2 linked regions of the Danio rerio genome follow. The protein of the gene in region 2 purifies or fractionates together with the protein of the main gene of each other region. This does not show direct contact. Links are inferred from orthologs where the notes say so. Each region holds a gene or a part of one and is shown on either strand. Other genes may lie near its edges.

Region 1 (3,500 bases), on a different chromosome or scaffold from region 2:
AGGTTTATTTTCCTCATATAAAATATAAAAAACGTTTATATACTGAGGTTTTTCTGATCCCATTACTTTGTGCTTTGTGGTTTTGGAAAATATGAACAGTTGTTTAAATATAATGTTAACATGTACTTTTTCTGGGAATTTATGTTTTAACTTTTACTGCAAATATCACATCCATGACACTGGAATTGCTCAATTACCTCTCTTTTTTTCTCTTATAGGAGAAATAAGCTTCTATATCTGTCTGCTACCCAATTAACACATTTATGACTTTATTTTCTTTTTTTAAAAATTTTAATTCAAGTCAAGTTTACTTGTATAGTGCTTTTTTTTTCTTTTTTTTTTTTTTACAATAATTATCGATACAAAGCAGCTTCACAAAAGATTCACATTACATTTGTCAAAATCAGAAAAGTTAGAGTTGTTTTAAATTCAAAACATGATTCATAAATACACAAATCCAATTCGTAACTTCCAAAACGAGATTCGGAAATACACAAATCCAATTCATTTGCTGAAAATATTATATATAATATAAAAATAATATAATTATGCATTTACAAAGAAGTTTATTTGTGTATCAAGTGTTTGTTGTTTTTGAAGTTATCTTAAAGTTGGCATAATCTTTTTAAATCCTTATCTTAAAAGTCTTTTTTTTTTTTGCAGTGATAAAGCTGTTATTATGGCTGCTCACCACCACCTCCACCACCACAACACATCAGAAGACGATTTCCCCACTCTCAAACCAAGACGCATCCAAAACCAGAATGTGGTCCACCGGCTAGAAAGGCGTCGGATCTGCTCTGGCCCGGTCGGTGCTCACTGGTACCGCGTGCGCTGCTTCCACCAAAACCTGTTTCCCAACTTTACAGTAGTGAACGTAGAGAAGCCGCCCTGCTTCCTCCGCAAGTTCTCTCCTGACGGACGATGCTTCATTGCGTTCTCTTCCGATCAAACTTCCTTGGAGATCTACGAATACCAAGGATGCCAAGCCGCCGAAGACCTTCTCCAGGGTCAAGAGGGAGAAACTCTGGCCAACGGAAATGACCAGCGTTCCTTCAACATCAGAGGTCACCTCTTCGAACGCTTTTTCTCTCTACTTCACGTCACTAATGTGGCCTCCAACGGCGAGCACTTGAACAGAGAATGTAGTCTTTTTACTGACGACTGTCGTTATGTGATCGTCGGCTCGGCTGCTTATTTACCTGAAGAACCTCATCCGCACTTTTTTGAGGTGTATAGAAATAATGAATCAGTGACTCCCAATCCAAGATCTCCTCTGGAGGACTATTCTCTGCACATCATAGACTTGCACACGGGACGGCTGTGTGATACACGCACCTTTAAGTGTGACAAAATCATTCTATCGCACAACCAAGGACTGTACCTGTACAGCAATATTCTGGCCGTGCTTTCTGTGCAGCAACAGACGATACATGTGTTTCAGGTGAGAGTTGGAAAAAATTAGGAGACATAACTAGAAAAGACTTAACTGAGTTAAAAAAAAAATCAGTCTTTTTAAATACTTTTTATTAGGGCTGTGCGATATGGGCAAAAGAAACCTATCAAGATTTTCTAGAACAATATTGCGATTTCGATTTTAATCATAATTTTGTTTCTGATACATATTACTAAAGGAAAACAATTAGATCTTTATCAAAGACCTGTAACACTCTAAAACAGACATAAGACATACAAAAAATGAATATAACCTAGTAAAGGTATAACAAATTGTCTCTAGAACAGACAACATGGTGAAACAAATAGGCTACTGTGTGTGCGTACTCAAGTAAGTCTCCAATGTTATACTTGACCACATATCAGAATTAGTTGTGAGTACTTTTCTACGTTTTCACAGATTTGTTATTTTTATTTTTTGCCTTGCATAGATCATAGACGCTGCTGTGAAATAGGCCGTTCACATATTGTGTCTTTTGCATGCACAAGTTTGTTATCTTCAATGGAGGCGTGCGAATTGCGCACCTATTGGGAGCGAAGTGCTCGTGTATTCCAGGCTCACCAAGATAAAAACATCTAAACTGTTCAGAATGCCACACCGCGAGTCATATAAGTTAACAAGAAATGACTGATCAACTTTATAATTCATATAGAATATACACATTTAAGTAGACTAATTAGCTAGCGCAGACAAACACAGAGCACCCAAACACTTCAGTGCTTTTCAATTTTCTTCATAAATTTGTAAAACTTGTATCAGAGCTGCAGCAAAGTTTTGTTTGTTTGTCATTCTCTGAGAAAATGGTTGATGATCGCATAGCAATTATATACGACAAAGGAGTGCGTGCGCAAATCATGTTGAAAATGCAGAGATTTCCACATGCTTTTAGACATGATCGGGACTGACAGATCTTACAAATTGCCTGGTTCTGCGATTAGGCATAGGCTGGTATAAGATTCTGACGTTATTTTAGCCTTGGATAAAAATATCTTGGTTTCACTGTATTGTGATTACTGCTCTAAAATATATTCCTTTTAGATGTCTGGGTAAAAAAAAAAAAAAAAAAAAAAAAAACCTTTTCACCCTTTGAACACAATACATTTCATTTTGAGAAACATTTAAAATATTTTGGAGCAGTAAACGTGTCAGGCTGAACAATGAAAAAGAATCATTGAGTTCTGCTGTTTTCTTTAGTTTCTAAAACACAGATTTCTTTACTTTACAGATTTATTTAAAATGGCATGTTTGGATATCTTTTCTGCTGGAGATACTGTTGTCCTAACAAACAAACAAACAAAATAATGTAAATAAAAAAAATCTTACATATACCATAGGAACAGTATAGCAGAAAATTTTGGTGGTTTTAAAACATTGAATTTTCCCACCCGTGGTATACCTTATAACGGTTATTGTCTCATGCCTATCTGCGATACATCAGCCTTCCTGTATCCAAAGTAATCCAAAGTAATTGACTTTTTTGAGCACCAAGTCCTCCTGTAATGAACTCATCATCCCTGTTTATTCAGACTATTTGACATTAAGCTCAGTCTCCCATTCTCACGCTCTGCTTAAGAACCCTGTGTTATGATTGGTTCAAATAGCAAACTGTGGGAGATGTATCAATCGGGACTGGAGTGAGCAAAAAAATAGTCCTGTAAGGCGATTTAGAAATTGTGCAAGTTTAAATTGCAATTTTGTTATGATTTTAATTATTTGCACAGCTCTACTTTTTATACTTGTATTTACACATGGACTTTTTTTTTTACTTCGCTGTCATACAAATGCAAATTGCAATATTAACAACAAAATAAAGAGGGAGAGAGAGATCGGGAAATATTATTTTTAAGTTGCATGAATAATTTTAATTTAACTAGAAGAACTATCACTTGTAGGAACATTTGTCATTTGATATTTGTATAATTTGGGGGTTAAAGATAAATATGAAAAATGCAAAAAAAAAAAAAATTCCCTGTAAAATCTTGAAATATTTTGACTAATTTTGTTTAGTTGTAACATTTTGTCCAATAATATTATTATAATATTT
Region 2 (4,236 bases):
AAAATAGGTGGATGGAAACATAGCTATTGTCTTGTCAAGAAGATCTGTGAGGTCACAAAGTAAAAACACATTGCATGCCATGTAAAAAAAAACTACTGTAAAAAAAAAACAAAAAAACAACTAAAATATTGCACTTTACTTGTTTTAAATGCTGCTAAGAAGACATCTTAGAAGATGGGTTAAGTTCAAACCGAACCATGCCACCATTGTGCTCTATCAAACTGAGCTGTAAATTTTGAGACCATTACACCACTATTACTTTGTGTGTCATTTTCCACAAGTAAACCAATCCAGACCTTGATTTTAAGTGGGTTGAGACTGCAATTCCTGCAATTGCAGGCTGACTGTTCTAGTTTGGATCAGTGCAGTGATAGCAATGTTCACAACTTCCTAAACAAACCAAGCTAAGCGAGAAAAGCACACTTGTAACATTTTAACAGTTTTACATGGGATTTATTTAAAGATTCATTTACAAGCCATGTGCCCTAAAAATGTGATAAAATACCTGAAGTGATATTTACATTAATTTGGACTCTGTAGAAACCCAACTTTAGTGTCTAAATACCACATGCAGCTGTTTTTTGGCCATTTTCAGCTTTTATTTGAGTGAAATGTTCACATAAGATGACTTTTCCCAAGGAACCCTGAAGTGTTACAATAATGTAATATATTTAAAACGTATACCAACCGCCTCCAGTTGTTTCTTTTTTTGCAGCAGGTACTCTAATATGTAGTTGACATTTGCTAAATCCATATTCTCTTGATCAGCCCCAAGAACATCCTGGAAAACTTGCCATTTGGTTCCATTCTATGAAAAGCAGATGAAACAGGACATTTCAATGCTCTTCAATCAGTAATAGTTGAAATTAAATTTGTTTGAATAATTTCTAGTTCTCATATAAAAAATGAGATCTTACAGGGTGATCCCGTTTTAGACGCTTCTCCTCAGATCTCTGTTTTTGTTTCAAGATTAGTTCATTCACTGTAAAAACAACAGAATGAAGTCAGTACTCAAGAAATCAATCAAATGTCATGTTTGATATCTTTCAGAAACTTATACAGTAGGTGGTGGCAATAAACAAAATACAACAGATGACATGCATCAACATTTACATACCTAAGAAGTTGGGGTAAAGTTGATCCACATTGTCAATTATGTAATTACATTTTGGGCATCTGTTGCTGTCCTCCAAACTCTGTCGTATACATTTATAACTAAACAGATATACAGAAAAAATGTTTGATCAAAGCCTGTAAATGGGCATGAAATGCAATGTAAATTGCAAGGTTAACCTCTCAGTTTAGAGAACAAAGGCTTCTCACCAGAAACTGTGGCCACACTTTGTCATGTGAGCTTCCTCTATCATCTCAAAACATATAGGGCTGTTAAGAAAGAAAAAAAAAAAGAAAAAATAATGAAATTACATGCACAAGACTTGCTTCCCTTTTTTCAATGCAATACTGAAGACTACAAGGTTGTTATTGTATTTAGTACACTGACCACCGGAGACCAATAATCTTTTTAGGAACATTTGATTATTAGCATAACTTGAGTGCAAAATAAAGGCAAATGTGTGTTGTTGGCATCCACATCAAATTAAACTGCAAACAGATGTGTAATGCTTACAAACATCATATTAGAGGAAAGTAAAACAACTTAAAAATTAAATCTGGTTGAATTTGTTTCATCGTCATTCAGTAGAACAGATAAACTACTATAAAACAAAATATTTCAAATAACTAAAACCATCCATAGGTCAACTGAGACTCTAAATATGCTTGCCAAGATTCTTGTTAATTTCTATATATTTCTAGTTATATAATCTAATGTTACAAGAAACAACACTACATTTTCAATGTTCTGTGTATGTCAACAGTTCTTAAAATAATATGATTTTCTTCTGTGGGATTGACAATACAAACTGACAATATAGAGCTGTCACACTCAAACATTGTGTATAATGTTTTCTTCGAAAAAGTTTGAAAGCTGATGACAGACTGTTCATTTAAAGGGAAACTATCCCTTTAACTCCCTGTTGACAATTATCAATTAGCCTTACTCGCGGTATTAAAGGATTAAGCACGAACCAAATAGCAGAATTTGCCAGGTACACCTGCAATTAAGCCCACATGTGGTTCAAAACAAACATACTACCACTTCATTATCGAGTGAATTTAGCCATGTGAGGGAATGTGAATGCACTTACCATACAAAATCATTACTCTTGTCTTCATAGGGATTGATAAGACCGTTATACAAGGGTCTTTTCCTGCTTAAAGAGCCCAGACGAGCGCTCTGTCCGTCGGCTACCGAGCCCAGAGTCCTCGAGGACACCCCGTTACCCGAGCTGCTCCCGTTCTGAGCGGCGCTGTTCCCACTGTTTGCTCCGCCGGTGCCGCCGCTGCTGCTGAGGCTACACAAACTCCCGGAGCTTGTCCCAGGGACGGAACCCGCTGCACCACCGGACTGCTGCTGTTGCTGCTGCCGAGTGCTTGACATAATTGAAGCCGTTCGTGCACGTCGGAAGGCCAGAGCTGAAGCTAAATTTGCGGAGCTTCACCGCATCCGGGCGGCTGTGGGAGATACGCTAACTAGCTAAAGCAACACCAATAAGAGAAAAGAGGCAGGAACTTCCACCGAGCGCGCTGCTAGGACTGAAAGGCGCAAATTTCTTCACAAGTGAGGTGCTTTTTCTGCATGCAGAAGGCTCGCATTTAGGTCTGCTCGATGCTAATGTAGATATGCAACTCCGCAGAGATTTGTTGACAACTATGAGAGCTTTAGAAATTTCAGTCCACTGTCTGCAGGATGTTCACGCGAGAACTTCCCCGAGAGGAAACGCTCGTGTGGCTCAGGGTTCAGCGGCATCTACTGGCCTGGAGAAAAACTGTAAACACTCAAAACTATTCAGGACAGCTACTCGTCGATTTGACAATCTTCCAAAAACATACAAGTACTATGAGCATCCCCATATTATGAAGCAACGAACGTTCTCAAACACATCGTCTTTGATGTTTACGGTATGGCTGCATGCATGTAATTTATATCGTAAGGAGCAAAAGTATTTTTTTTAAAGGCCTGTATGTAGCCTAATTCTATTCCTAAAATAGGCCTATGGCATTTAAAATATTATAATATAAAACTATTACTCTCGAATAGACATGGGCTGGTATACGATTATGACGGTATGATAACTTTGGATAAAAATATCATGGGATTGCTGCTGTAAAATGTATTAATTTTAAATGCATGGGTAAAAAACAACAGCCCCCAATTTAAAGAGGCATCTTTGGATTTCTTTTCTTTTGGAGACCATGTTGTCCTAAAACACACACACACACACACACACACACACACACAAAAAAACGTAAATAAAAAATCTTACACATACCTTTGGAACGGTATAGTAGAAATTTTTGGCGGTTTTCTCGTCCCATGTCTACTCGGTTTCTGCCCTAACTTACAGGTTAGGCATATTTTAAAGTTAGCCTAACGTTAATTTTAAACACAATTTTACAACTTGTCACATTTGCTTTGCATTTTCTTAAAATGAAATAGGAATGACAAAAAAGAAAGACATTAATGCTTTTGAACTGAATTATGGATAATTAGTTTCTGCTCCAAAGACTTTTGATGTTGAAAAACAAGTAAAAAAACAACAGCAACCTTTACTTTTATTGATATTTCTAATTTGAACGAAGATATTGTGATAGCTTATCATATAAACTGCAGTACAAAAACTGAGTAATGAGGTGGCAGTATCTTCTGTTATTTTACACCTTTAAATTTTTTTAACAGTACATAAGATTTATGATGGTGTTACGGATCACAAATCTCATGGTTTGGTCACAGATCGGATCATTTTTCGGACCAGCAAAAAAGGAAAGAAACAAATGTCATTTGCTTTCCACTCATACAAAAATATTACTGCAAAATCCATTGGCTTTAACAAACAGAACTTAGAACTTGTAATTTTAATAAAAATAAAAATCAAGAAAAAAACAGCTAAAAAACTTCTTGTACAACATATCGTATTTATTTTCAATTAATGATTCCACAATTCACACATAAAACTTAATGTTTATGTTTCGTTTTTGGATTATCATTTTTGAAAACCAATTCAGTGACATCATTTTGATGATTGTTTATCGCCACCCATTGGTTACACAGTGTAATTGCTACAACATTCACCAGTTCTATCAACAATCACTCAAGTTCTATTAAGCAGTGCTTTT

Evidence for each region. The genes of interacting proteins can lie anywhere in the genome.
Region 1: the proteins of cop1 (region 2) and det1 purify together in Homo sapiens (affinity purification with western blotting; 11 studies listed by BioGRID and IntAct, counting the BioPlex papers as one, with this or other methods). This does not show direct contact. The link is inferred for Danio rerio from reciprocal best matches to the Homo sapiens genes COP1 and DET1.

The regions. Positions count from the first base shown.
Region 1 is NC_133200.1:13,239,849-13,243,348, reverse strand, and holds part of det1 (DET1 homolog), read left to right. Parts: intron 1-663; 5' UTR 664-679; coding exon 680-1,444; intron 1,445-3,500. UniProt on the Homo sapiens protein: Component of the E3 ubiquitin ligase DCX DET1-COP1 complex, which is required for ubiquitination and subsequent degradation of target proteins. The complex is involved in JUN ubiquitination and degradation.
Region 2 is NC_133177.1:38,090,524-38,094,759, reverse strand, and holds the start of cop1 (E3 ubiquitin-protein ligase COP1), read right to left. Parts: upstream 2,801-4,236; 5' UTR 2,501-2,800; coding exon 2,208-2,500; intron 1,384-2,207; coding exon 1,324-1,383; intron 1,216-1,323; coding exon 1,118-1,215; intron 983-1,117; coding exon 918-982; intron 809-917; coding exon 689-808; intron 1-688. UniProt on the Homo sapiens protein: E3 ubiquitin-protein ligase that mediates ubiquitination and subsequent proteasomal degradation of target proteins.